4 linked regions of the Notamacropus eugenii genome follow. The protein of the gene in region 3 interacts with the protein of the main gene of each other region in a biochemical or structural test. Links are inferred from orthologs where the notes say so. Each region holds a gene or a part of one and is shown on either strand. Other genes may lie near its edges.

The links. The genes of interacting proteins can lie anywhere in the genome.
Region 1: of the proteins of BTRC (region 3) and DEPTOR, one has a biochemical effect on the other in vitro, tested with the Homo sapiens proteins (3 studies listed by BioGRID, with this or other methods). The link is inferred for Notamacropus eugenii from reciprocal best matches to the Homo sapiens genes BTRC and DEPTOR.
Region 2: the proteins of BTRC (region 3) and KDR form a complex in vitro, tested with the Homo sapiens proteins (2 studies listed by BioGRID, with this or other methods). The link is inferred for Notamacropus eugenii from reciprocal best matches to the Homo sapiens genes BTRC and KDR.
Region 4: the proteins of BTRC (region 3) and CDC34 form a complex in vitro, tested with the Homo sapiens proteins (4 studies listed by BioGRID and IntAct, with this or other methods). The link is inferred for Notamacropus eugenii from reciprocal best matches to the Homo sapiens genes BTRC and CDC34.

What each region holds. Positions count from the first base shown.
Region 1 is NC_092875.1:125,303,575-125,310,594, reverse strand, and holds the start of DEPTOR (DEP domain-containing mTOR-interacting protein), read left to right. Parts: upstream 1-4,006; 5' UTR 4,007-4,126; coding exon 4,127-4,290; intron 4,291-7,020. UniProt on the Homo sapiens protein: Negative regulator of the mTORC1 and mTORC2 complexes: inhibits the protein kinase activity of MTOR, thereby inactivating both complexes. DEPTOR inhibits mTORC1 and mTORC2 to induce autophagy.
Region 2 is NC_092877.1:106,551,855-106,559,874, reverse strand, and holds the start of KDR (vascular endothelial growth factor receptor 2), read left to right. Parts: upstream 1-5,006; 5' UTR 5,007-5,424; coding exon 5,425-5,488; intron 5,489-8,020. UniProt on the Homo sapiens protein: Tyrosine-protein kinase that acts as a cell-surface receptor for VEGFA, VEGFC and VEGFD. Plays an essential role in the regulation of angiogenesis, vascular development, vascular permeability, and embryonic hematopoiesis.
Region 3 is NC_092872.1:179,423,720-179,430,735, forward strand, and holds the start of BTRC (F-box/WD repeat-containing protein 1A), read left to right. Parts: upstream 1-3,999; 5' UTR 4,000-5,407; coding exon 5,408-5,417; intron 5,418-7,016. UniProt on the Homo sapiens protein: Substrate recognition component of a SCF (SKP1-CUL1-F-box protein) E3 ubiquitin-protein ligase complex which mediates the ubiquitination and subsequent proteasomal degradation of target proteins. Recognizes and binds to phosphorylated target proteins.
Region 4 is NC_092875.1:69,196,987-69,204,103, reverse strand, and holds the start of CDC34 (ubiquitin-conjugating enzyme E2 R1), read right to left. Parts: upstream 3,015-7,117; 5' UTR 2,174-3,014; coding exon 1,997-2,173; intron 1-1,996. UniProt on the Homo sapiens protein: E2 ubiquitin-conjugating enzyme that accepts ubiquitin from an E1 ubiquitin-activating protein, and catalyzes its covalent attachment to other proteins by an E3 ubiquitin-protein ligase complex. In vitro catalyzes 'Lys-48'-linked polyubiquitination.

The DNA of each region.
Region 1 (7,020 bases), on a different chromosome or scaffold from region 3:
CTACCTGTGTGATCTCAGGCAAGTCATTTGTTGACTCTGAGTCTCACTTTCATGATTTGTAAAATGATAGGGTTAGTTCTGGTGTTTTTTTTAAGTCTCTTGTAGCTGGATAGTCTATGATTCAATCAGCTAATTAATAAGTATTTATTAAGTACCTATAATATGTTAAGCACTCAAAATACAAAGACAAAACATGAAGCCATTCTGAAGCCTGTTCTCTAGGCTTGTACATTCTACATATTTATGACGTTTCGGAACATGAGAGCTGTATGCATTCCCATTCCCGTCTCCTAGTCTTTGTTTACCTGTGCTTCAACTAATTAACATTTTATTTCTAGGTCCATCTAGTATGAAATTCCAGAATAGAGTCCTGCCTAGAGATTTTTAAGATATGGTTCTATAGTCATGTATCTTGCATGCTTAAGTAAATATTTCTAACTGGTTTTCAAAATGAAATAATGTGGTCCAGAGAATTTCTGGGGACTGATAATATTCCTCTCACCTTTTGCCTGGATATCTAGTCTGCAGCTATCAGGCCAGGAGGTAACTTCGGGGTGACCTGGCAACTGCTGAAGATTCAAGGGGAAAAGAAGCCAGCACTAAAGTCCTTGGCACTTTATCAGTGGAAATGAAAATGAAGAAAATGCTTTGCCACCTATATTGTCCCTATACCCTCCAGACCATAGGTTCTTTCCTCATAGGTGACTTGTAGGTGACTTCTGTATATGTTGCATTCCCCATTTGAAAGGAGCTTCTTGAAAGTAGTCTTTTCTGTTTGTATTCCCAGAGTGCTTTGGACCCAGTAATTATTTAACAAATGCCTTTTCATTCCTTCATTCATTCTATAAACTTTCAACATGAATACTCTGAATAATCAAAAAACAGGAGCAGTACAGAAAGAACTTAAGACAATCACACCTTCCAAATTAGGAATAATCATTTAAACTTCAAAGTTGCCTGAGATTAGTTTGCACAGAATTCATTCATTCTTAAGTGGAACTTACAAGTAGTCTGTTGTATGAATGTGCTCCAATTTCAAAAGCTTGCTATGTATGTCTTTCTGAGGACCACTGATTAGACATAGTTCTTGAACCAAGGAAGTCAGAGATAGTTTTGTTGTAGGATCTAGCATGCAAAGAATAGTTTCATAGCTCTTTGAGCTAAAAGGAGCTTTAAGAATTCATCAACTCCTTGTCTTTATATACATAAATACAATATATAATATTGTGTGTACATTCAAAATGTACATTTGAAAGAGACAACCAGTTTACAGGATGAAGCAATTTGTCTTATCTTTCACTGTGTCGGAGCTTTGACTAAAACCTAGATCTCCTCAGCTCCTGCTGTGTATGAAGCACTACGCAAGGCATGATGGGAAAGTCGATAGATATAAAGTCAAATAAGACATTATCCTTTCCCTACTGGAACTGATTGAATAGAGAAGATAAGTACAGCAAATAGGATCCCTCTTTTTCTTCAAGACACTATTCTAGAGCTGCCTTCTAGTCAAAGCCTTTCTTGGTCCTGAAATGTTAGTGTCCTTTCTTCCTAAGTCAATTGCATTTAATTATGTTGCATTTTTTATAATACACATTCTTTCATTCTTTATATTTGAATTCCCAGCATCTAGCACAATGCCTGGTGCCTAGCAGAAGCCCTATAAATATTTGTTAAATGTGTGATTAACTGAAGATAAAACCTATATATGTAGAAATCAAATCAAGAGACATTTAGCATTGTGTCTAGACTGCTGTGCTAGATACATGGGGAGATGCAAAGTTTAGAATAGACATGTTCCCTGTTCACATGGATCCTAGTGTGTGAATTTTTGAAAATCTGATGTGAGAAATCTCTCCATTTATGGCAGTCTCAGGAGATTGGTCACCAGGAGTTGTCTGAGGCACAGGGATGATAAGCAACTCATTGTTTCCCAAACAGTTTCAGAGATGGGATATTAACTCACATTTTCATGCTACAAGTCCAATAGTCTAGTTTGGGACCTGACTACAGTACAAAATAAGAGCTATGTAAAAGTCTAGAAATTCATAGGAATATCTGCAAAGCAGATGGAAAACTTTGTCTGGAACAGCCTGAAGACTAGCTACTCCCAGAGTTGAAGAGGGGTAGAAGAGGCTGAATTGCCTTGGGAAAAACTGTAAAGCCCCTTTTCAGAAACTAAGCTTCCCATGAAAGCAAAGGTCCATTTTCTTAATGCTAACATTCTACTGGTATTGATATTTGGCAGCAAGATCTGGAATACAATGGTCTTCAAAGTATTAAAAATGAAGATCATACAGAGGAAAATGGAAAGGCATATGGTAGGGGTGAGCAGGCTGCAACATGTAACCAAAGAAGACCTCCAAAGAAGAACAAAGGAACTGTACAACAGGCAGAGAAAAGGGGCCAATCATGTGGTAAGAATGAAAATGATATATGAGGAGCTAGAGTGATATATAGGAGCTAGAGTGCTCCTCTGGTATCCTCACAATGTCAGATGAGATTTTGAGAAAGGTCTCCAGCATGTTGGGTGGACCCCTTGTGTAGGAATTACAGGAGGACATGATAAAAGTTACACAGGATGGGCTGCAGGGAATTTCTGAATTGATGAAATAACATCCACTTGGGCATTTGGCTATCTGTAAATACTAGATACCAGACTTAGTTGTTTCTATTTGCTGAAGAAACAGAAGTGTCATCAGCACTCTGTCTATTTTAGTGCCATGGAGGGGAAGACCCAGGTTGCCCTATCCTGGCTTGGGGAACCTGCAGCCTAGAGACTACATGTGGCCCTCTAGGTCTTCAAGTGTGATTTACTGACTACATCCAAACTTCACAGAACAAATCCCCTTAATAAAAGGATTTGTTCTATAAAACCTGGATTCAGTCAAAAGGCCACACCCAAGGACCTAAAAGGCCACATGTGGCCTCCAGGCTGCAAGTTTCCCACCCATGCATATCATGTATAGCTCTGACTCGGACTTGAGAGAAATAAGGAGAGACAGCCTGGAATGGCTGAAAGACCATTGGCTTTGGAGTCAAAAGACCTAAGTTCAAATCCCCCTCACTATAAGTGTGACCTTTGGCAAATCATTTAGGTTGATTATACCGTGGTTCATGAAGAAACCAAGGCTGAGATTTAGCCAGGTTCACACAGCTGGTAAGGATCTGAACAGATAATTAAACCTGTCTTCCTCATTTTAAAATGCAACCCTCCTTCCATTTTAATACATTATCCTGTTTCCTCATCTGTGAAATGAGGTGTTGCACTGCAATGAAGGTTCTTAACTTTTTGTGTGTGTCATATAGATCCCCTTAGCAGTTTGATGAAACTCATGGACTCCTCAGAATGTTTTTAATACATAAAATGCAATACACATGTTTAAAAGGAAAACAATTTTTTTTGAAATACAGATTGTATAAATATACATATATAAATACTTTTATATATTAATATATACATATATGTGTATATATGTATATATTAATAGGTCTCAGACTTCAAGTTTAGGAACCCCTGGAATAGAGGAAGACTTTTAGAAGGACATGAATTCTGCAATATGCATAGGAAGATTGCCTTTTTAGTTTCTACCAGACTTGCAATGGCATGAATAATGTCCTCTCTCTGTCCAGTCCAGTTTATTACTAAGCCAGTAGGACATTTCTCCTACCCTTTCCTAATTTAGGTTAACAACGGTAATAAACAACAGCGATGTTAACAATGTCTGACCGTTTGGACACTCAGTCCAAACAACTAATGACCCACACGAAGGGCCACCCAGCTAGAGCTCTGGAGAGAAACCTCGGGGCCACGAGTCTACAGCCACTTCTTGGCCACAAGCTGCCCTCAAGTTCCCTACTGGACACCGGCCTCGTGTTTATGTTTTCCCTCTGGTCCCGCCCAGAAGGGCCACGCGGGCCCTGACCACCCCCACAGCGCCGCCCCCTGGTCTGCGGCCCCACCCTTTCTCCGCAGGGAGGGAGGGATTCACTGAGCTCTCCCCAATCACACACGAGTCCCGAGGTTGCCCCCAACAGAGATGGCGGCTGGGGCTTCTGTAAGGGCTGGCTGATTCTTAACACCCGGGCGAGCCTACAGCGGGGAGAGAAGAGTGAGCAGCTCGCGAGGATGGAGGAGGAGGGCGGCAGTAGCAGCGGCACGGGCACGGGCACGGGCACCGGCACGGGCTCGGGCACAGGCGGCACTGGCGGCGGTGGCACGGTCAGCGGAGGCTTGCAGCAAAGGGAGCTGGAGCACATGGCAGAGATCCTGGTCACCGGGGAGCAGCTACGGTAAGGGACAGTGGCTGCGATGCTCTAGGCGGCTGCTGCTCCGCGCCTGGCTCCCCTGCCCAAGCCCCGCGCTCTGCACTGCGCTGCGCTGCGCTGCGCTGCGGCTGCTCTGCCTGGGCTCGCCCGGCTCCGGCTCCGGCTCCGGCTCCGGCTCCGGCTCCGACCCGGCGTGCTGCGGGCTCACGGGGCGGTGGCTGCCGCCGCTGGTTCCCCGTTTTTCTCTCCGCGGCTCAGGCTGGAGGCGCAGAGAGCTCCCGGCGTTCCTCTTTCCCAGCCAGACCCGGCAAGGCTGCTTTTCCTCGGACTGGATTTGACAGCTGTTGCGGATTCGCGCGGCTGGCAAAGGCCGAGGGGCCGAGAGGGCTAGCTCTTTCGGGGCCGGGGTGCGGGTCCACACACCCTCTCCATATCCCCATATTCCCCAGCAGCTTCCCTGCCAGGGCGGGGCGGATCTGATCGAGCTCTTCTATATGAGGTTTCCTCTCGGTTTTCCGTAGCTGCTGAGACTGGGGAGAAGAAAGCATGGCAGGCAGCCCAGAAGTGGTGCCGGGGTTCTCGCTGCCAACCCGAGCGTCGTGGGTCGGGCAGAGCTGCCGGTTCTCCCCTCGCCCCCTCCAACCCCCACCCCCTATTCCTTCCAGTTCTGCAGCAAGAATAGGAGGATCTCCCGGGCCTGACATGCAGAGAGGGTAGGGATACAAAGAGATTCCACTAGAGATTCACCTAACATGAACGTTGGAAAGGACCTGAAAGAAAATCTAGTCCAATCATCTGGTTTTACAGATGAGGAAACGGAGGCACGAAGTGTGCCCAAGCTAATTAGTTGAATAGCTAGGGACTAGAATGCACGTTGCACCTTACCTGACTGCCACTGCACTGTTCCTTTCCTTCGTCTTGCCTAATTAAAGCTTCTTTTCTGCCTTTCCCCCAAGTCTCAGAGACACAAGAGTTTTTATTTAGAATGGTCTGCTCATTGTAAGAGAGTTTTTAAAATGGAGCTCGGCAGTGGCCGTATGTCGGCTCTCGTGACCATCCCCTTAGACAATCAATTTAGTATAGGGACAAGATTAGAGATACTGGTTGGAAGTGTGTGCACCTGCTCCTTCGAATACTTCTGTGACGTTTGTAGTGAATTTTAATTCCTGGTGAGGTGTTTCAAGATTGAATGAATAAAGAGTATTTCAAGGAACTCCGTGCCTCGCAGTTGGCCTTGGTTGCAGAAGTGAGCCAAGGACACTGGAAGTCAGCGTCAGAGCTGATTGACTTTTTTAAAGAAAAGCTTTGATTTGACTTTAGAGCTAAAAAGTAATTTGCACATTTCTATCCATCGTGGTTTCGTGTCATTCTTCCTCCAGATCAGAAATTGTTTTATGTTTTGTTTTTGTCTATAGGGTGGATAGCACAGTGCTTGCCACATAGTGGCTCTTAATAAATCCTTGTTGATTGGTTAAGAGAATAAGTGCCTTCTCCTTGATCTAAAAAAACAGATCATATAGAGCTGGAAGAGACCTTAAAGATCATCTGGTCTACTCATCATTTTCCAGCCGAGGAAACCAAGGTTAAGTGACTCATCCAAGGAAACAAAGTTAGCAAATGACAGAGCAATTTTAGTATAGTGTCCCAAAAGTTTTAGTGAAATTTGGAGGGCAAAGACCTTCTGGCTCCATGCACTTTCTAGTCTTCTGTTATCTTATATCCTCCAGATACATTTGGATCGATGATAGTGGTCTCCTTGCTGTTCCTACAAGAAGACTCCATACCCAGAATCTAGGCATGTTCACTGCCTGTCCCCCTTATCTAGAATTCTCTCCCTCCTCATCTCCTGCCTCCTGGCTTCCCTCTGTGCATTTAAATGCCAGCTAAAATCACACCATTTCCATAAGAAGACTCTATCAGTCAACCTTAGTTCTAGTGCCTTCCCTCTGTACATTATCTCCAGTTTATTCTGTTTATAGCTTATTTGTACATAGCTATTTTCAGGTAATCTCCTCCCATTAGATTGTGAACTCCTTGAGAGCAGGCTTTACTTTGTATATAGCTCTTAGCACAGTGCATGGTGCAAAGTTGATGCTTAATAAATGGTTATTAGCTTTCAAGCTTTAATCATTTAAAATTATACTAAGACTTTTAGGATATTATATACAGTACTTTTAAAAGCCTTCTCAGTGCATCTCAGCAAGTGTTCAGTTTTATCTATTTTCTGCTTGCTGCAAAATACATGCCTTTTTAAATTTCGTTTTGAACTTGAATGTTTAGAATCTAATTTCTAATTTGCTTAGGAATCTCCTATGTTGTTGTAATGTTCAGTTTTAGAAGAAGCATGTACATTTAAAATAAGACATCACAGTAGGTCTATTTCTTAGTTCTTATTTTAAAGTTTAAGTCCTAAGGTATGATCTATTAATTTCTTTGACTTTTAGATCAAGTACTCTTTTTTCTGAATAACTAGATAGATTTTTCCTTACAAAGTTGTTCTTTTGAAAAAATAAGGGAATAAAAATGGTCAGTTTCTGGTTGGTTGGCTGACATTGGGAAAGAAATATAAATCAAGTTAAATCAATGTTTCCTTCTCTCTCTAAGCCTCATTTCTACCACAGTAAGGGGTTAAGTGGAGTAAAGTTTGAAAAAGCACTATCTTACTGCAGTATAAATATTTAAAAGTGTTTATCAGTATCTGTTGATATGCACAGTGTAATATGTGTTAAGATTGATGGCACAGGTAGAGAGTGC
Region 2 (8,020 bases), on a different chromosome or scaffold from region 3:
CTGTGATAAGTTTTTAATTTTTAAAAAATGACTAAAAGATGAGGAGTGGTAAAATAGACTAACAGAAATCATATTAGAATAATGCTTCATGTCAGTGATCCTAGAAAGCTTGGATGGCATCTGATTTTTAAGTAAGTAAGCCTGAATATTTAGTTTCTGGTTGTGAATATATCACTTTCCACAATAGAATTTAAGTTCCTGGAGGCCAGGGACTGTTACATTTTTGTCTTTGTATCCTAAGTATATAAATTATAAATATATGCTGAACTATAAACTATGTGCTAAGCTATAAGCTATATGCTATAAACGAGGCATGCAATAAATACTTGTTGGTCGAATCCAAAATAATGATGATGAAAACAGAACTGAATATGAGGGAGAGTAATCAGGGTCCAATATACTCTAAGGACTATGTCTTTGTTGGCTTGTTTCAGAAGTGTCCGACTCTTCGTGACTATCTGGGATTTTCTTGGCAAAGATGCTATATTGGTTTGCCATTTCCTTCTCCAGCTCATTTTACAGAAGAGAAAATGGAGGCAAACAGGGTTAAGTGACTTGCCCCGGGTCATATATTTAGTAAGTGTCTGAGGCTGGATTCGAACTCAGGTCTTTCTGACTCCGGGTCTGGCACTCTATCCACTGCATCATTTAGCTAGGCGCTTTCCATCTGATTTGTAGCTGAAATATCTTCTATGTGTTGTCTTCCCCATTAGAACAGGAGTGAGTTTCTTGAAAGCAGGAACTGACTTGCTTTTCAGTTAGTATTCCCTATGCTTAGACCAATGCCTTGTCTATACTGAGTGCTTAGTCAATGCTGTTTCCAAACATTCAGTTCTTCAATGTTAAGGTTATTGTCTGAGTTGTTCTCTTGATGCTGCCTATTTTACTCTATATTAGTTAATGGAAGATTTTCCAAGTTAGTCTAAATTCTTTATATTCATTATTTCTTGATGAAATAACATTCCATTCCATTTACAATTTGTTCAACCGTTCTTCTAATGATGGGCATCCATTTTATTTCCATTTTTTTTTGGAACAACAAAAAGTGCTGCTATAAAAAAATAACTATTGAACTTTTACCTCCTTTGTAAAGGAGTAGCCAGTAGTGGTCTCACTGTGTCAAAGGGTACATACAGTTTAATAACTTTTCTAGCATAGTTCCAAATTGTTTTCCACAATGTTAAACCAGTTGACAATTCCAGCATTTACTACTTTCATCAGTTATCTTTGCTAAGCTGATAGGTGTAGCTTGACCCTTAGCATTGCTTCCATTTGAATTTCCCTTATTACTAGCGATTTGGAACATCTTTCTATGTACTGATAGCTTGCATTTCTTCTTTTCAAAATTGCTTGTTCACTGTACCTAAGATCGAAGGAAGAAGAAAAGGACCAATGCATATAAAAATATTGTAGCACCTTTTAATGTAGTAGCAAAGAACTGGAAACTAAAGAGATATCCACCTGGTACACAAGTTATGTACGTGAATGTAATAGACTACCTTTGTGCCGTAAGAAATGACAAAATGGGCAATTTCAGAAGCATCTTGGAAGATCTCTATGAACTGATGCAGAATGAAGTTAGCAGAACCAAGAGAACAACTCATACAATGACAACAATGTTTTTAAAAAATAATTCCTAAAGATTTGAGAACTCTGATGAAGTCCAGAGGACTAAAACTGAAATAAGCTACCTGCCTTTTGAGAGAGAGGTCATACACTTAAAATGTAGAATGAGACATACATTTTTGGGTGTGACCAATGTGAGAATGCATTTTGCTGAACTCTGCCTATTTGTTATAATAATTTTTTGCTTTTATTGGAAGGAGAGATAATAAATGCTTGTAATAATAATTTATTTTTAAAAAAGAAAGTTGCCTGTTCATATCCTTTGTCTACTCACCTATTAGGAAATGCCTCTTTTTACAGTATATTTCCATTGGTTCTCTACGTATCATATATCAGACCTTTAAGAATTTCTACAAGGGTTTCCCCTAGTCAACAGCATCTCTTCTTATTCTAGCTACATTGATTTATTATGTAAAGGGTTCTCAATTTTATATAATCAAAATGGTCTATTAGTTTTTTAAGATCATGTCTATTTTCTGGTTAAGAATTTGCCCCCTAACCAGAGTTGTGGAAAACATCTCCTTCCATTCTCAAAATTTGTTTATAGTTTATATGAAATTTATGAAACATATATAACATATGTTACATGTAATTTATACAAAACATATTTTAATCACTTATCCTCCATTTGGATCCAATGCCTTTCTGCTCCAATAAGCCCTCTTTCACATAACAAAAGGTGAGACTGCATGTGCAGTAGCATGGAGGAATGGATGCATTGTAGAAATGAACCATCTCCATCATGATCAATTCATATTTTCAGCAAGTGTCACTTGAGGTCAATGGTTAACCATTTGAAGTATATGTGCCATTGTTATTACGCTCTATTACAACAGTGCATTAAATAAGGACAGAAAAGTAGAAAAATCAAAGTTTGACAAGATAACATTTTTTTTCAGACTTTTTCAAAGTGGTGAAAACTGGGCATTTTAAAGTGATATGGGACACTGGGTATGGCAGAACAACTTCAGTGTGATCCCTGGCATTTCTGGCCTTGCTATCATTGGAGTCATTATTTCATCTTTTTTCAAAATGGCTATTTTCATGAGACTGAAGTTTCTGGTTTATATGCAAAGGAGCTGACTTCTTTGACTGGACAAAAATGGTGGAGAGCAACAGCATGGTGTGAACTTCTGGGGTCCTGGCCTGGAAGTTAGTAGACCTATATCTACTCAGTTTTGTCATAACTTGCTGTGTGACTTTGGGCAAATTATTTAGCGAATCTCTCCCAGCCTGTTTATTCATCCCTAAAGTGGAAGAGGAATGGTTAGCCTAGACTAGTGTTCCCCAGATAGTGAACCGTGGCCCCTTGGGGACCAAGGAATTATTGCAAGAAGTCTCTGTGTCCCTATAAGAGCATACAGACCATCAGAACGAGCGCAGAATATTTCTCACATGTATGTACTATTCGTTTTCAAATGTCACCACTGACCTAAACCACCCCAAAGGTTTCTTTAAGTTTTCAAATTCTATCAGTCTTTGATTGGCATGTGGTGGAAAGGGAGAGAATAACTAGGACCAGGAGGTGAGAATTATTTAGGAGATAGGGAAAGCATCTCCCAGGGCCATGTCCACCTAGTTCTTCCTTCATCTGACTCATCATCTATCGGTTTTAATTTCATAAATTTTATTTAGGGTAGGTGTGTGTGTGTGTGTGTGTGTGTGTGTGTGTGTGTGTGTGTTGGGATGGGGCAAGGTAATAGTTTTATCTTTAAGGAAAACTTTTTAAAAATAAAAATGATTCATTCATTTTTAAAAAGAGGTGCCTCAGGCATCGGGCCAGCCAAATGGAGGGTTGAATAAATATCAGGAAATAATCAGGTAAGAAGACCTCTTCCCCCTTTCTTTACCTCATTTCTTACAATGCCACTGTCTGATTAATTCAGGCAAAGATGGGATGAAGAGTCTTGGGGGGGAGGGATAGGATCTAAATCATGAGGTTAATTGCAATTCTTTAAAGTGTTAGGATTTGTATTGTTCTACTTATAGTATGATGAAGTTTCTGTATGCTTCCCCAGTATCTTGTAGGCACTCTCGCTGATGAAAAAAAAAATAAAACGCCTACATCTTCCAAGGAGGCAAGGAACTTGGGAATTTGCCAGATTCTGTAACTGAGCTCAGCGTAAGCTCGATGTGATTCCTGAGTTATGAAGGAAACTGGATAAAAATCAAGGACAGCAAGAAGGGAACTGGAACAAAAAGAAATGTGTTCAAAGATCCTTTTCTGCCCCTCCCACCTAAAACACCCTTGTGCCCCAGAAAGGTAGGAAAGATAGGAGGCTCACAGACTGAATCAAATCACTATTTCCAAATCTGGGTTCAGTCGCAAAGTGGACAGCAAGTAGGTGAGATGGATTCAGAGAAGACCAGAACCCTGAACCACGCAAATACTGGAGATGCTAGGAAAGCATTTTGGGCATAGTTGGTTCTATAGAAACTTCAAGTTTCTAACGATGCCTGGCAGAGGGGGTGGCATCCCAGAAATGGGCATTTCTAAGAACTGAGGTGCCTTCATCCAAGGCAGGATCCCCCTGCTCATTATTGTAGGATGAAGGCTCTCATATAATGGGAACTTGATTTGAGTTGCAGCCACAATCTTAGTTATGGTTGAGCTAGGTGGGCATCCTCCCCTCTCTAGCCCCAGTCACAGAGATGCTCCTTTGCTAGGATGCCTCCTGTGCCTGTATGAGTTTGGAAGTCCTCCCTTACTGTATTTAAATGTCTCTCTTGGAATGAATTTACCCTCCCAGTCTAGGCAGAGACTATCCTTCTCCAGATTTCTCTTGGCTTCCCTAACCTCATAGGAACAGTAGTTAGGACTCACATAGGGAAGATTGCCAAGGGATTCTAGGTGTTAATTCACAACTTATGGAAACCACTCAGACCATCTCACCCGGTGCCTATCACCTCAGTGTCTCCAAGAGGGAGAGGCAGCCAAAGGAATCCCCAGGGACTCCAGATCCAATGCCTTATACATTAAGAAAAAATAATGAAAACATTTAAAACCTGAGGGAATTTTAGATTAGCTAGTCCATCATCCTCATTTTAGCTTTGAAACCAAGAGGAGAAGGGCTTTGCTAGGAGTCACACAGGTAAATAGCCAGACTCTCCAACTCTTAAGTCAGGGCACTTTCCCCTATGCCCCTGCTTCATCTGTTGGTTAGTGCAACGGGGACACCTTTTGGAGGCCAAAGCAGGGATCAGAGACTGGAAAATGTACTCTGCATTGGGCCTATCCGAAAGCACGGAGTTATCTGGGACCGGTCTCCATTAGGTCCAGTTAAATCTTAGCCTGGGCTAGGTAGAGGAACAAGGCGTGGGAATGGGCGGGACGGGGCGGGTCTGGCCAACTGTAAAGGACAGCTCCGCCCCAAGTGCTCACAAGAGGAGTTGGTGGAGGGGCTGACCCAGCACAGATTCCCGGGCAGGCCCCCAGGAACGCAAAGCTGGGTCAGGCCGGTCCATTCCCTCTCTCTACTTCTTCCATCACTCGTACTCCTTCGCGAACCCAGAATCCTTCCCTGAGTCAGATCAAGTTCTCTGGGGGGCCAAGGAGTCTTCACTCTAAGTGAGCAGTGCTTTCCTCTGGCGCCAGTGAGGGGCACCAGCCCGGGCACAAGCCGGAGGCATCTGCACCCGGCGCCTTCGCCCTCCCTCCCGCCCTGACTGGCAGCTCCTGGTACTGGAGGCGGGGGAGTGGCTCCCATCGAGCCAGTAACCGGGAAAGAAAGCCCCCAGGACAGGAGCCGGCGCTGGAGCATCTGGATGCTGGAGCCTGCGTCCTGCCAGAGCTAAAGAATGGAAAGCGCCCGAATGCTTCTGGTCCTCTTGTGGCTCATTGGGAAAAGCCTGCTGGTTTCAGGTAAGGAACCCTGGGCACGCGGGAGTCAGTCTGGAGGGAAAAGCCGGGGGCTAGGCCAGCGAATGGGGGCCTCTTAAGAAGGCGAGAGAAAACCAAGTCAAAACCAATCTTGCCTTTTGCTGTCGCAGAATCGAGAAGCTAAGGTTTCATCTGGTCAAAACCTGGCGCCCGGAAAGGATTAAGAGGTGGCAGGGGGACGCACAGCCTGGCAAACAAGCCCAGAGCTGGAAGGGGCCTTGGGGCTCGTCAACTAACAATAATACCTGGCCTTTATTTAGCGCTTCGAAGTTTTCAAAGTACTATATATCTATCTATATATATATCTTCTCATTTGAGTCTCCTAACAGTCATGTGAGGAGGTAAGTGCTACTCATTTTACAAACAGAAAGGCTCAGAGAGATTACCTGGCTAAGCTATGGTCACAGTGCTAGCTAATGTCAGAACAGTAATTCTAACCCAGGTCTTCCAGATTACAAATTATAATGATGCCACTCTGTCTCCAATCTACTCCAACCAAACCCTGTATTTTATAAGTAAGGAAACTGAGGCCCAGAACAGGGAAGTCATTTGCCCTGGGAAGCACAGCTAGGAAGGAAGTAGCGGATCTGGGATGCTTATCTGACTCCCAGTCCACTGCTGCAGTCAGGTACTTAAGAGACGCCTAAGACCAAAGACAGGTAGGGTCGGAGGGTGGGGGGTGGTGTGCGAGGGATAGGTACGTCTCAACACTCAGGTTCTGGACTGCAGGCATAGTCACTAACAGTTGCGGGAAACTTTCCAGAAGAGCCATTGGGCCTCGGAAAGCGGGACAGAAATCTATTTGAGGAGTCCCAGCCTGCCTCGCAACCCCACCCCCTCACGCCCCGGGACGTTTGAGGAAGCAGGATCTTTTCTCCTGGCTGCCGTGGGGTCTTTGCTGCGAGAAGGAGCCCTGGTCCTTTGCTGGAGGAGCGGGGAGACTGCGGGAACTTCTGGGCAACGCAGAACCTCGGGCAGCCTCCTTGGGCACGGGCATCTCCAGCTACTCTCCCCTTCTATGCGGACTTTGCACTTGCAAAGCATTTATCGCTTTGTCAAAGCGCCGCCTCTCCAAGGCTTAGATCCCTTTGTTTGAAGTATGAACCCGAAAATCGGCCCCACAGGAATAGGCACCTTCCATGCCAGTTGCCCCTTCTTGGCTCCTAAACCGCATTTTCCGCAAGATTAAGATTACATAGAAGCTCGAGGCTTTAACCTCCTTTGGGGCTCTCACAGACACACACGCTGGGAATGTTGTTTTCCCTGCAGCCACACTTTATCGATTTCTAGAAAGTAAAAAGGTACTTCTGTGTTTACATTGAGGCAAAGGGATCCAGACAGCTGAAGCAATTATCTAGATAATTCCTGCAACTGGGGAGTTTGGGGGGGGGGGGGAAGTATTTTTTTTATTTTTCAAAGAAAAGATTCCTCTCCCTTAATTATCCAGATTGTCTGTCTACATTGATTGCATTTACCTTGTAATTATTGGGCTCTTCAAGCCTGAGAACTAGGTCAAATGGCTCTGTGTGTTGCTAAGGCACCCTCACTCCTCACTCCCCCCAACCCATTATATTTAGCTTCCAGGTCTAGGGTCCAGAAAATGTATGGGGTGTTTGGATTCCAGAAAGAAGTGAATCTCTTTAAAACCGGAGGAAAAAACTTAGCTCTTCACGAAGGGGCCCTTCTCAGTGATGGGAGCCACCTTGCCCTCCAAACAGTAGGGAGGGAGCTTTTGGGGAGGATTTGATTCCAATAGTAGCATTGGTTCATAATTGTTGCCTTCAATTTCTTCACACAGAAGCACTATTGTCTTTCCTTCTGAGTTGGAGCAGGGAAGGGTAACAGAAGGATTAATTAATTAACATTGCTTATAAGCTTTGCAAATAGAAGCAGCTTTGAGTAATGATACGAGCATTTCTTATTCTAGAATTTGTCTTGAAAATGTAAATATATAACCAATGATCTCCGAAATGACTGCCTATTGTAACAGAGACAAGAATTTACATTAATTAAATTATTATGTTAATAAGCGAAATCTCTATATTGTATTTGGTAGCAATGAAGTTGTCGAATGAGAAAGATAACCTAGACTCAACTGCTGTTTTTTTCTTGGATTAATTACTTTTGAGTTGTATTTATCTCTTTTTATTTTCCAGCACTGCCTAGGTGATTTCTACATGGGCAGTAGTTTGCAATGATATGGAATAACTTTGATCAACTGAGTTTATCTTTGGTGTTTTTCTTTCTTTCTTTCTTCCTTTCTTTCTTTCTTTCTTTCTTTCTTCCTTTCTTTCTTTCTTTCTTTCTTTCTTTCTTTCTTTCTTTTTTCTTTTTTTTTGATGCCCTTTCCCTCCTCCCCCCCTCCCCACTTTCATTACCTTGCTCCAAAATGTGCACCTATAGAATGGATTGCTTTTCATATCAAAGTACTCATTTCAAAAGGCCAATTTTTGTTTCTCAACCTAATGAGGTTTTTCTAAAAAATGTTTTATGGATTTTTTTTTCATTATTGTT
Region 3 (7,016 bases):
ATAGCTCTGCTACTTCACGAGCCACTGTAGGCTCCACCATATTACTCTATAGTACAATAATTCATGTTCCAAAAGTCCCTGAAAAACCAAATATTAAAAGGGATCTGTGATCTGGTCATCATGGGTTTTCCCTCCAACAACACAAATCACAACTGATCTACCCCTGCCCATCCTATAGGACTTTTGTCCCTGCCCTATGTTTGCCATGGCTGGGGTTGGGGATGGGGTGGAGGTGTGAGGACAGGCTCAGCTATACCCAACCTGCTACAATTTGACATCACAAAGATACCAGTGGAACTCAAGGGCTGTCTATCACTTATCCCCACTTATAATATAACTAACTCAGCTTTTCTTTGGTGACCCTTTACTTGTGGTATCTGGCAGCCATGTTTATCCCTCATATGCCTCTTCAGGTTATTTTCAGTTTCAGTTCTTTGGCAGAGTAATGTTCTATGGTTTTCAAACATACATCAGTACATACATCAGTTTAATATTGGTATTAAAAAGATGAACTTATGTTCCAGGGAGAAGTTGTAGGGCAGAACATAGACAAGGAACTAGAGAATAGACTTTGGTCTCTAAACGGGTAAATTTGATGCCTAAACGATACTCCCTCAGAGAAGTGCTTGATCACAAAGAGAGCAGCAAATGTGGGCAAGAATGGAGTGGCAAGAACTCAGGCTAAGGTCTCTGGAGAAAATGTCAAATACCTCAAAAGTATTATGTGCTGCTATCTACTTCTCTCACTTTTCACCCCCTTGGAGTTGGTATTTGCCCAATCATTCCATAAAAATTGCTTTCTCATATATTTTCCTTTGGATGCATAATCAGTTAAACCAATGATTTTTTCTGTGGATTTTCTGTTCTGCCCTGCCATATTTGACTTTATTGCAAGGCCAACATTTTGTCAGTTTCTTATTTGCTTATTATTCTGCCTGCTTGACTTAGCCTTATTCCACAAGTAAAGGGGATGTCTCATATCTCTCTCTATTCCAAGGCACACTGTTGTTTGGCACGTCCGCTGGAAGAAAGTACACTTTGGGGGCTGCTAAATAAGCAATCCCTTTTCCATCAGTCCTGCGTGGTACAAATAACTCATTGGTTTTACTCTCCAAGTAGAATGCTATTCAGGTAAGTGGGTAATACTCTTTTTTTCCCTCTAAGAGTACAGTTTTAGGAAATGCCCTAAGCACTGAGTCCTAAATTAAAATTTTGAGAACTCTTATTCTTTGGCTAGAAAGTTAGATTTTGAAATTACATAGTCAGTCTGGAGAATTCCTTCCTTTCTTCCACTTTCACCTGCCACACAGGGGCCTAGGGTTGATGAACATTGTCCATGAACTGCACTTTTGTTTTGAGTAAGCACACTAGTCTGCTTTTACCCTGTGCTTCTACAGAAAATCTATCAGTATGCTGATTGCTGTCACCTTGGGTTGAGAATCTTGCCTTTCAGGATCTCTTCTTTCCAGCTACCAGCAAGAATATACAACTTGTCTCTTTCCCAAGACAGTCATTTTTAGTTCCTGGATACATACAGAAAATAGTTTTCCTCCCCCTAGGACTATATCTGTACACTAACCTATTTCTAGATGGGAGAAAAAGAATGCCTGAAAGAGTGAGCTGTTGGGTCTGTCAGTTCTTTTTTTTTTTTTTAAATTATTATTGTTATTATTTGTCCGTAGATTCTGGAGGGGCCCAATGACATCACAGGGTGATGACCTGACTGGTACTTTAATTGGATTTAAGTGAGGCAGAACTGATAGAGGACAAAGACCAGAAGCTTCTTCTACAAAAATTAGTCTTTTTACATTCCAGATGGCCAATCATCTTGGCAGCAGCTTTAGGTACTGGGTCTAGTTCTGAGTCCCTTAAGTAAGGTACTAGTGGGTATGCCTACATTCTCCATGGAGAGGTTCTACTAAGAGTCCTCTAAAGGCTCATGCCTTGAAATTTTATCAAGTTGTTGAGTTGGGGAAACGTCCAGTGGATCAGTGACTATTAATCACCTCACCCCACATACTCATGCTTTAATTCACCTATTTTGTAAATTTATACATCAATATGCCTGTAAATATTAATCAATATCTATATGTCCTGTCAGTGTTAGGCCTGGGTTTGCTTCAGGTGGAATTATTTTGTTTTAGGGTAGAACCAAATTCCAAAATGAAGCTTTTCCAGAATTAAAAACCACATTCAACACTAGCTAGCCCCCCCAAAAAATTCCTGTAACTCTGACTTCCTGTAATTTACCTATTTCCACCACATAGATATTTCACAAGCTTGGCTTTGGGCCAGAACTGTAAGCTTTGAGAGGTCATGAGTCAGGTCTGGTCTCCCAGAACTAGAAGGCTAGTTCCCATGGCAAGATCTTGTCTAATTTCGGGAACAGAGGCCTGAATTTTGCAGGCAAGATGATGAGTTCTGGACAAGGAGTGGGAAAGGCCTTAGGCAGGTAGACCAAGGGATGTCAAAGCACTCAGCAGCCTGCTCACAAGCTGAGTTCCAGTGGATAGCAATCCTTTGGATACAGGACAGATCTATGAGGTTTGGGGAGTATCTAGCCCCCCTAAACCTCAGTTCGCAGGGTTCTGGTAAAACCTTTCTCTGTGTCTGTGATTAACCCCTTGCTGCTAGGTAAAAGTGACATGGTCGCCATCTTGTGAACAAATCCCAAGTCAGACTCCCTAAGCTTCTCACAGTAACCAAGGTGACAGTGCACTTCCGCTACCCAGAAACTGAAAAACTACATTTCCCATGAGTCCCTTTTCCAACTCCAGGTAGGTGGACTTCCTCGGACCAATTCTCGTAGGGAAATAGCAGAGCTGGCCTAGCGCAGGGATTGGCGGGTGTCTCAGTTCCCTTCGTTGCCCCGCCCTATACTGCTTTCAGGCCGAGAACTACATATCCCGTGAGCCCGCGGGCCCGCGCTTGCGCGCGGCTGAGCCGGTTCTCCCTTGCCCCCCTGCCGGCGCCGGGAGAGGTAGGGAGAGGGCGGGGGGAAGGAAGAGGAGGCGGGATCCGGGAGCTGCGCTGGCTGCGGCCTGGCACGAAGGGGGCGGCCCTGGCGGAGCAGTGAGACCCAGCGGCCCCCGGTGACTATGGACCCGGCCGAGGCGGTGCTGCAGGAGAAGGCGCTCAAGTTTATGGTGAGGAGAAGGCGCGGGCCGGGGAGCAGCGGCGTTGGCGGCGGCGGCGGGAGTAGCAGCCGCGTCGTTCTTGGCTGCGGCTTGGGCCTGGGCCGCTTGTCTGGAGAGGGGGACAGCGAGTTTGGGGTCCGGGGGCGGCGGCGGCCGCGGGGGCGGCGGAGGCCGGAAGGGTCCGGGCAGGCTGGGAGCTGGGGGCCTGGGCCCGGGGGGTCGGGAGTAGCAGCTCCGCCATCTTGTGGAGGAGAGTCCCAGTGACAGCGGGGTCCCGACGGAGGGGGGCTGCCCGTGGCGCGCGGGGCGACGGAGGGGAAGGACAGAGCGGGCCAGTTCCTGGGGAAATGGAAGGTTGCGGAGGCGAGGGCGGGCGGGGGCCGTTGTCTGTCCCGCCGCGCGGGCGGCTCTCGGCCGCTGCGGGGGCGGACAGGTATTTGGGGGCCGAGTGCGGGAAGGGCCGGACGCAGTGGGGCTGCGGGGAGGAAGCCGGGCTCCCGGGGCTGGGGCGAGAGGCCACTAGAGACGAGGGCACCGGGACTGGGGAGGCCTGAGCCAGCCTAAGAGGAGACGAGGGGACGAGCAAGATTCTCCTACTTTGGAACGGACGGGGGGTTAATATTGTAACAGAACAAGTTGATGGTCTCCAAGTATTGACCAGAACAAGGTCAGGGGCAGGGGAAGAGTTTAGAGGCCACTAAGGTTAGGGGCAAATGCCTACTCGTGGGAGGAAAGGCAAGGAAGGTTAAGGCAGTCTCGGAAAGGACTGGGTCGTGGAGAGTCTCCCTAAGTGTCGCCGAGTGAATTAGTGACATGGGAGTGCGGGAGTGGAGAGGGGTTGGGAGACACTGAAGAGAAAGCAGTGGGACGGTGGAATGGGAAAAGTGATGCTAGATCTCTGTACTCATTAGAGAGTGTGAGATATTGTTACATTTTTCTGTAACTTTGTATCATGCTATACTTGTGTTTTGCTAGTGTCTGGTCAGTTTTGAGTAAGTTTAGCATTTGAGGCTTTTAATCTGATTGCCCTTGGCTTTCCCACATACAAAACTTCAGTGATGTCATCAGACTCTGTAGTTACTGCTAGCGAGTGATAATGAAAAAGAATACACATAGACTTTATCTGAGTTTACCAGTTGGTCTTTAGGAAATCAATACTATTTGCATAAGTTTCCAATTTCTTCAGAGTTGAATTTGGAATAATGACAGCCCCTAACCCCATTCTTTGAATGAATGGTTGGTATTTCCAGTGTTGCCTGGAATACAGTAACAACTGCAAACTAAAATAGCTACTGAGTTAATATTAGGTCAAAACAATCTAGATGTTTTGTTTCCAAGAATGAATTCTAAGTGATTTGTATCATTTGGTGGAAGTTCATTTGATGGGAATTAATGTTTTTACGGACCAGAATTAAAAATTTATTAAGAATATAGAAATCAGTTGTTTGAAGTGTCTCTTTGAATTGCTACCCAAAGTTTGAATACTGTATCAGGTATAAAAATCTTTGATTTAGGAGGTAGCATAGGGTAGTGAAAAGAACATTGTATTTACAGTTAGAGGATGTGGAAGTCCTGGCTCTTCTAACTTACTACCTGTTTGACTTTGGGCAATCTTGACCTCAGTTTTCCCATCTGTTTACAGAGAAAGGGTTGGACTAGAATGAACTCCCAGCCCACTTTTGATTCTAAATCTATGAGCCTATGATGCTTTATTTTTATTTTACAAGGCAGGAATTATTCATATACACATATGGACAGCTTCTAGTCTTTAAAGATGGTAGTCACTTAGTTTCTATTTTCTCCTTAGAGGATAGAATTTTTCTATCAACTTAAGACATTTTTACCAGATTTATGGAATAATATAATTTACAGATCACAAACACATATTATGAGATCATCTACTTTAGGCAGCAGTGCAAGAACATTCTTTACTACTTGGTCTCAGTTCTATACCAAGGAGTTACTTATGTTTGAGTTGTGCCACCTGAGTTAAATTAAACTTATAAATCTGAACTAGATTGACCATATCTTACTTTATACCTGTCAGAGTACCTTATAATATTAAGATTGAGTCACTTCCTATAGGGATAATAAAGCTCTATAGACAAGGACTCAGCTTCTGATGCCTTTCTTTTGGCACTACCAGCCATAGCTTTTGTCTGAAAGGAAGCCCAAGTAGTCACCAAGAGAGAAAACAGAGACATATTTTAAATGCTAGAGCAGAGGACTGAGATCTAGATATTTAGTGTTCCAGTTGAACAGTCTTTTACATGAATTTGGGTAAGTCAACTCTTTGACCTCATTTCCCTATTTATGAGATCTTTGTTTACTTGTGTTAACTTTTGAGGTCTTTTAATGACTCTGTGTTTACAAAATCTTGAAGAATGTGAGTATACTAGATATGAACTTAATCACCAATGTTCTGCTTACTAGAATTAGAGGAATCATTCCATAGGAGAGTTATTAAAAGACCTTACTTTAAATTCTTGCTCTGTTATGTACTGTGGAATGGTGGGCTAGAGCTTTGAGCCTCACTGACTTTGTAAAATAGAGAACTAGACTAAATCTCTAAGGTGTCTTCCAGCTCAGAAATCCTATAGTTTCTGTGGTTTCACTTTAACTTTGAGTGATGTGCAGTGCTTGGCAAAAAGTAGGTGCTTAATAAATACTTGTTGGCTTGAGGGGAGGGCAATTTTAGCACAGATGAAAGACAATTTCACACTATGTTAGCTAAGAAATTTGTTACCCCAAAAGAACTCAAATACAAATAGATTCAAGAAATGTTTAGATAAATTTATGGGTGATCTATAACATTATTTAGAATGCATTAGTAAATGTTTGGAGGACACTTGTAACCTTGTGAAGTTAAGACCAAGAATGATAACCACTTTATTCCACAAAACATCTCTGATGGCCCCATCAGAATGTTGGTTTGGGTCTATTTGGGGCATTATTTGAATTCAGTCAGACTGTTCTTATTCTTCCTTGTTATCTCCTGCATGGTGCTTATTTACGTCGACCAACTCAGCTGACTGAAGGATGTTCATAGACATTGACAGGGATAGGGGCTAGCATTTACATAGTACTTTAAAACTTGCCGAGTGCTTTACAAACATCATCTGATCTAATTCTCGTTACAGTCCTGGGGGATGGTGTAGTGCTATTATTATTTCTGTTTTACAGGTGAAGAAACTGACCCAGACAAGTGTTAAGTGCCTTGTTTAGGATTACACAACTAGTAAGGATCTGAAGCTAGATTTGAATTTGGGTCTTCCTGACTCTAAGTCCAACACTCTATCCACAGAGCTGCCTAGTAGTCTCAAATACTCTTCCCTGGGTAATCAGTACGCAAAAAGAACCTCTTTTTAACTAAAATTTATTTACAATATCTAGGGTTATTCTCTCCTCCTTCATTCCTTTCCTCAAGTTATGAATTATTTCAGACCACTTTTGCACAGATTTTGTAGTTTGCGTATTTTAATAGTTAAATTTTTCCCCCCAAATAAAAATGAAATTGGTATTTTTGTACAAACTTTAAACTATGAACATAGTTTAGAGAAGATTAATTACAGTAAAACTTTATCTGTACTCCTGATTTTATATTGGTTGTGCTTTATCTGAGATCTAGGCTAAGGTTTAACTTTGCTCCCTTTATGTAAGAGGGTTTGCCAGAGATGAATAATGTAAAGTTAACCTACTTAAGGAAACATTATTTTAAAGCACGTTAGAAGTACTAGATTATACCAAACTAATAATGATTTTATTAGGAGTCATTATTTATTGATCACAGCAGATTCCCCAGGTACTTTTGCCCACAATTTGTTAGGGGGGAAAAAGATCCCTCACAGAAATATATAAGGAGGCTAGAAAAGATACAAA
Region 4 (7,117 bases), on a different chromosome or scaffold from region 3:
AGAATGTACATGAGGAGTGTGTGCATGTGAATAAAATAAGGGAATGTAGTGTGTTTCTATACGAGACAGGGGAACTTAGTGTGATGTGCGTCTAAGAGAGAGGGGAACCATGTGTATATATGGGTGTATGTAAAAGATAGAGGAATTCTAGGACATATAAATGCTGGAAAAATCTAGTCTTTGTATATAATACATAGGACAACCTATTCTCTGTGTACATGTGCTATGTGTAAGAAATGATGAAATTGCTGGTGTGTTTGTATGTAAAAGATGGAAGTATCTATCTTGCCTGTGTGTGCATGTGTGTAAGAGATGAGAGAATCCATCCTGTGTGCATATAAGATGGGAGATCTATCATGCATGTGTGTAAGAGATGGGAGAATCTATTCTGTATGTGCATGTAAGGGAAAATATCATGCAAGTGTGAAAGAGATAAGACAATCTATTGTGTGCTTGTGTAAGAGATGAGAGATCATGCATGCGTGTATAAGAAATGAGAATCTATCATGTGTGTGCATGTAGAAATCTATTCTATATATGAGATAAAGATGAAAATATATTGCATGTATGGAGAATCTAGCATGTATGTATGTGAGACTAACATATACAAAAGAACATATTATAAGGGAAAGGTAGACACATAACATAATTGTTTATGTTGTATATATGTGGATTCTATCAGGTACGTATGTGTGTTGTTGTGTCTAGGGAGAATCAATCACCTGGGTGGATAGAAAATCTATCTTGTGTATGTTGGAGAATACCATGTACATGAGGGCCTATGTATATCTGGGAAAAATCTATTGAGTGTGTGTATAGATGGGAGACTATCATCTTTCTTTTGTGGGAGAATCTTCTTTTGTGTGAACATGAATAAGATGTGAAAATCTATTACAATGCTTGTGAAAGAGACAGGAGAATCTATCATGGAGTAGGCACGTGTGTCTCTACAGTAGTACGTATATGTAGACTGTCATGTGAGAATGTGCTATATATACACACGTGTAAATGTGTGAGAATTTATTCTTTGTGTGTTCATATATATGGGAAAGATTTGGCCTGCATGTGTGTGGGAGGGGGGAAAGGGAGAAAAAGAATCTACCTTGCCTGTGTCTGCAAGTGTGTTATAGAATCCAGTCTCCATAAACACAAAAGAGAAGATAATCTATCTTGTATATATGTATGTATGTATGTATATGTATATAAACATATATGTATAAATAGAGAAGGGAGGTTTAATCAACCCTTCACAGGAAAGAAATGCTAAGAATCTACCATAGGAGGATAAAATAAAAAAGAATGGGAACCAATCATCATGTGTGGTGTGTGTAAAAGAAGGTGGGAAACTATATATATATATATAGGGACAGGGTAAAAAGGCAGAAGAACCTGCCATTGGGTGAAATGGGAAATCTACAAAGGAGGGGATAAGAGATGGGGAAATCTATCATGAGGAGTGGTGGTAAGAGATGGGGGAACCCACCTGGTGGGGAGATAGAGAATCTACTATGGGGGAGAATAAGAGACGGGGAATCTTCCTTGGGGGTAACAGATGTGAGAATCTACTGTGGAAGGTAATACATGGGGAAACCTACCATGAGGAAGGGGGCAAGAGATGGAGAATCTACCATGGTGGGGGGAGATGGGGGAACCTTACCATATGCGGGGAAAGAGATGGAGAATCTATTACGGGGGAGGACAAAAGATGGGGGAACTTACCATGGAGGTGGGATAAGAGATGGAGAATCTGGGAGAAGGGTAATAGACTGGGGAATCTACCATGGGAGGGGTAAGAGATGGGGAGTCTATCATGGGGCAGGATAATAGATGAGGAATCGGGGGGGTGGGGGTAATCGATGGGGAATCTAGCATGGCACGGGGGGCAGAGCTGGGGAACCTACCACGGCGTGGGGGGGAGGCAAAGGAACCCCACGGGGTGGCCGGGTTCTCCGGGGCCTGGCTCCCATGTAAGAAGTCGGGCTGCTCCCTGCCTTACCTTGAAGTAGCCGCCCTCGTAGTAGGTGTTGGGGGGCCCGAAGATGGCCACCTCCCAGTTGTACAGGTCGCCCTCGTCCACCAGGGTCACCCGGAAGCCCTCGACCGGCTCCTCCTGCAGCCCCTTGAGCTCCAGGAGCAGCGCCTTCTGCGAGCTGGGCACCAGCGGCCGGGCCATGGCGCAGGAGGCGGAGGCAGTGGCAGCGGCAGCGGCAGCGGCAGCAGCGGGAGTCAGGGAGGCGGCGGCAGCGGTGGCGGCGGCGGCGGGGGCCGAGGTCGAGGGGCCGGGCTGGGCCGCGTCGGGGGAACTAGGCCGCACGGCCGCCCCGGACTCGCGTGACGGGCCGGGCCGAACTCTCTGGGCAGGGGGGGAGGAGGAGCCGCCGCCGCCACTGCCGGGAGCCGCCGCCTCCGAGCCCTGAACCCCCGAGCGCTCCACTCGTTCTGGATCCCCGCTCCCCCCCCAGCCCAGCCCAGCCCGGCCCCCCGCTCCGCCTTCTCCTCCCCCTGCCTCGCCCTCCCTTCAGCCCGCCCTCAGCCGCCGCCTCCTCCTTCTTCTACTTCCCCTTCCCCTTGTCTTCAGGCCGCTGCCCGCGCGGGGCACGCCGGGAACTGTGGTCCGCTCCGGCCCGCCGGCGGCGGGGCGCCTGCGCCGGGCTGCCCGCCTGTCTGCCTGCCCGCCCTCCCGCTCTGCCTGTCTAGCCCTCCTGCTCTCCTGACTATTTCTGCCCGCGCCTGCGCCTGCGCCTGCGCCTGCGCCACCCCGTCGGCTACCGCGAGCCCGTTCCCCCCCCTCCCGACCGGCCTATCCTAGGGGGAGAGGAGAGGGGGGCCGAGCGCGCAAGCGCGCCTCAGCCGCGATTGGGTTTCGCCCCCAGGCCGAGGCCGCAGCCGCCCCAGCCGGGACTACAACCCCCAGACACCTCTGCTGGGGGGGGAACGCAGGGACGGGGGGCTGCTGGGATGGGTAGGCGTTGGAGCCCGTGGCGGCCCGTGTGGTTGGGTTTGTTGTTTTGTTTTGTTTTGTGTTTTTTTTGTGACGTCCTTCACCCCCTCACCTGAATTGGTGAGGGCGGGGCTCGGGTAGTAGGCGAGTAGGGACGGGGCACAGGGAAGCGGGTCAGCTCAGCTGGGCCGGACCCTGGGCCCATCCGACCCAACAAACTTTTTTTTTTAAAGAATTTATTATGAAGGAACAGGGCGTGTTTGTCCGGGAGAGGAGAAGGCCGGGGCTGGAGATTTTGCAAGGCTTGAGGCAGCCGCCGAGTCCAGCTTGGCCCTGGAGGTCGGCTCTCGAGGCAGCAGACCTGCCAGGGCCGGGGGCGGGCCGGGGAGGGGGTCCGGGGGGGAGGAGTAGTGGTGGGAGGGGGGGGTGGCCCCCGCCAGTAGAGAGCTCCCCGTCCCTAAGAGGCTTCCAGAGAAGCCGCGCGGTGCTGCACGCGCGCAGTAGGGGGTCCCGGTTCAGACCGAGCCCAGGCTAGGTCTAGGTCCCCGCCAGCCTCCGCCCGAAGGCTGAGCCTGGTTAAGGACTGGGCTGGGGTGAGGACGAGCCACCCTCCTCCAGCCCTCCGGCCCAGCTGAGAAGCATGCCCCGCAGCCCGCACGCGGGACGCACGCACGCGCGATTCCGTGCGGTGACTCGGGCGCCCGAGGCTGCTGGAGGACAGGCTTTTGTGCTGTTGTCTCGGGCTGCCCAGCGCGGGGCCTGCCCGGCACGTAGCAGGCGTGCAATTGGAATGGGGCTGTTTGCTTTGGCAGCGGGCGCTCGCTCGAGGAGGACGTGCCAGGGTGCCCTTGGTTTCTGGGCTGGGACACACATCCGGAAGGATGCGTGCAGGGGAGGGGGGGCGGGGCTGTGCCCAAGCATTCTTGTCCTTGGTGCCTGTTGACCCACTGCTGAGGACTTCGCTCCAGTGCTGATGACCCCTCTCTCTATAAAGTATCAGTCATCAGTGCTTCCCCCAGTGTAAAAGGGCCTTTGCTGTAGCACTGATGAGGTCTCATGCACTGCAGTGTGAACTCCCTTTCATTTTATTTTTATGCCCCCTTGAACGGGGGAGATGCCAGCACTGCCAAAACAGGTCTTCAGAGCGGGTCAGCCAAGACAGGCTGGTAATACCCACTACATGTGGCAAAATAAACAAGCCGTCCCTCTGCCCTAGCGCAGTGCATTCAGGCAGAGGGAATGAAGCCACTGTTTGTGGGTCCCTTCCTCCCTTTGGGCCTCAGATCAGCATGGTCTGGGTGTGGAGAGGACACAAGCCTTAGAATCAGCAGAGACTTGGATTGGAACCCCACTTGCCAATGAGTTGTATCACCGTGGTTGTCCAAGGGACTAAACTTTTCTGAGTCTCAGTCTGTGAAATAGGGATAATGAAATCCATAGTACTTATCTCACAGGGTTATCTAAAGGATCATATAATACGTAGAAATATGTCCACCTTAATGGCCTGTACAAATGACAATTATTGTTTCCTCTTCTGTAAAATGAGGTAGTTGGTTTCTAAGGTCCCTTCCATCCTGAACACCCTTGGTTCTGCAAATAAATGCAACAAACTCTTTTATCCAAAAGAAAGAGGGGATGATCCTCCCTCCTTGGGGGTCTTCAAGCAAAGGCTGGAAGAGGCCTTACTGGGTTTGCTAGAGAGAGAATTAATGCTTCTGCCTGAGTTAAACTAGTTGGTGCCTTCCAGCTGAGATTCTGAGATTCAGTACCTGGCCAGTATAGGGGGAAAGACAAAACAGAGACAAGAGGTGACTGATGAATCATCTTTCTCCTGCCCTTGGAAACTTACAGCCTCGGCACCTTGCACATGAACATGGTAAGATTACGTGAGAGGGCAAGAGGTAAATAACCTCAAGACAAGAAGGGAGGAATTGTCACAAAGCCGGATATGATTCACTGGAAGATGAACTTGGTGGTGGTGTAGGAGTTCAGGAAGGGGGAAATCAAGGAAGGCTCAGCAAAGGAGGTGGTTTTCAGCTGGGCCTAGAGGGATTTGGATAGGTTGAGCATGTGGGAAGGCAGTGGAGGAACATTCTGAGAAAGAGGAAGGGGAGATTGTCTAGAGGTGGACAGCGTGTTTTAGAGGCTGGTAATAAACCAGTCTGACTGGAACAGGAAGATTCCTCAGAGGGAGGCAGGGGAAGATAAGTTGGGTAGATGGGTTTTTTTTATTGTTTGTTTGTTTGTTTTTAATAAGGCAGTTGGGAGCTATTGAAGGTGTCTGAATAGAAGAGGGACATGTTTTGAGAAAATATTTCTGGATCTATGAAGAATGACTTGGAGGGACAGAGATCAGAAGCAGGGAGGCCAGTAGTTCATAATGAGAGAGGATGAGGAGAAGGGTATTTATAAAATGCATACTATGTACCAGGCACTATGCTAGGCACTTTAAAAATATTATCTTATTTCTCAATGGGTGGGGAGGGATGGGAGGGAAGGAAAGAATTTGGAATTTTTAAAAATTGTTTAAATGAATGTTAAAAATAATATTTCTAAAAGAGACATTTGATCTCACAACAATTCATTTCATCCTCATAACAATTCTGTAAGGTAGGTACTATTTTTATCCTCAGTTTTTCTGACTCTTCATGACCCCATTTGGGGTTTTCCTGGCAGAGATACTGGAGTGGTTTGCCATTTCCTTCTTCAGCTCATTTTACAGAGGAGGAAACTGAGGCAAACAGGGTTAAGTGACTTGTCCAGGGTCACACAGCTAGTGAGTGTCTGAGGCTGGATTTGAACTCAGGAAGATGAGTCTTCCTGATTCTAGACCCAATACAATGTCTACTGTTCACTACCTAGCTGTCCATTTTACAGATGAGGAAACTGAAGCAGACAGAGGTGATGTAACTTGCCCAGAGTCACACCTAATTGAGCTCAAATTTGAACTCCGGTCTTCTTGCCTCAAGGTCCAGTGCTCTAATAACCTATGATGATCTAGCCCCTTCCATGCATTATTTCAATTGGTCCTCAAGATAGTCCATGAAGCCTGTATTGCAAGTTATCCTTATTTTATAGAGAAGGAAACTGAAACTCAGCAAAGTTAAATGGCTGGCCTAAGGTCACACAGGTAGTAAGTGTCAAGAGGCAGAATTTGAACTCAGATCTTTCTGACTCCCAAGTCTAGCACTCCAGCTACTATGTCACATTGTCTTTTGAGAGGAGAAGTGTTGAGGGTTTGGAATCAGCAGGACTTGGTGATGGATGAGATGTGAAGAAGAAGAAGAAAGAGGGGGCAAGCTTGGGTGAATGCAGTGGCTGGAATAGAAATAAGCACGTTAGGAGGAAGAGCTGAATTTGGATTTTAGACAATGATTGAAGGGGCCAGTAAGAAGGCAGAGCTGTGCAAGATGTAGTTAAAGCATGCAGGAATGTAGCTCTGGATAGAGGCAGGAGCTGGTTGGGCCACAGCTCTGTGTCACCCAATATAGGGGATAGTTAAAAATAAGGGAGATTGTAAAGGGAAAAGGACCCATATGGACCAAAATATTTATAGCAGCCCTTTTCGTTGTGGCAAAAAATTGAAAGTTCAGGGGATATCCATGAATTGAGAAATGGCTGAACAAATTGTGGTATACGAAGGTAATGGAATACTACTGTTCCATAAGAAATGGTGAGCAGGTAGATTTCAGAAAATTCTGGAAAGACTTACAAGAACGGATGCTGAGTGAAGTGAGCAGAACCTGGAGAACGTTGTACACAGTCATAGCAACATCGTGTGATGACCACGTTTGATAGACTTCACTCTTCTCAGCAACATACTGATCTAAGACAATTCCAAAAGACTCTTGATGGAAAATGCTACCGACATCCAGAGAAAGAACTCTGGAGTCTGAATGCAGACTATTCTCTCCCTTTTTAAATTTTTTCTTTCTTTTGGATTTTCCTTTTTGTTCTGATTCTTCTTTCACAATATATCTAACATGGAAATGTGTTTAATACGGTCATACCTCTATCAGATTGCTCATTGCCTTAGGGAGTGGAGAGGAGAGAGGAAGAAGAAAAAAATTTGGAACTCAAAATCTTATGAAAGTGATGTTGAAAACCATCTTTACATGTAATTGGAAGAAATAAAATACTACTAAGTGGGGAAAGTACTAAAAAGAGTAATAAAAA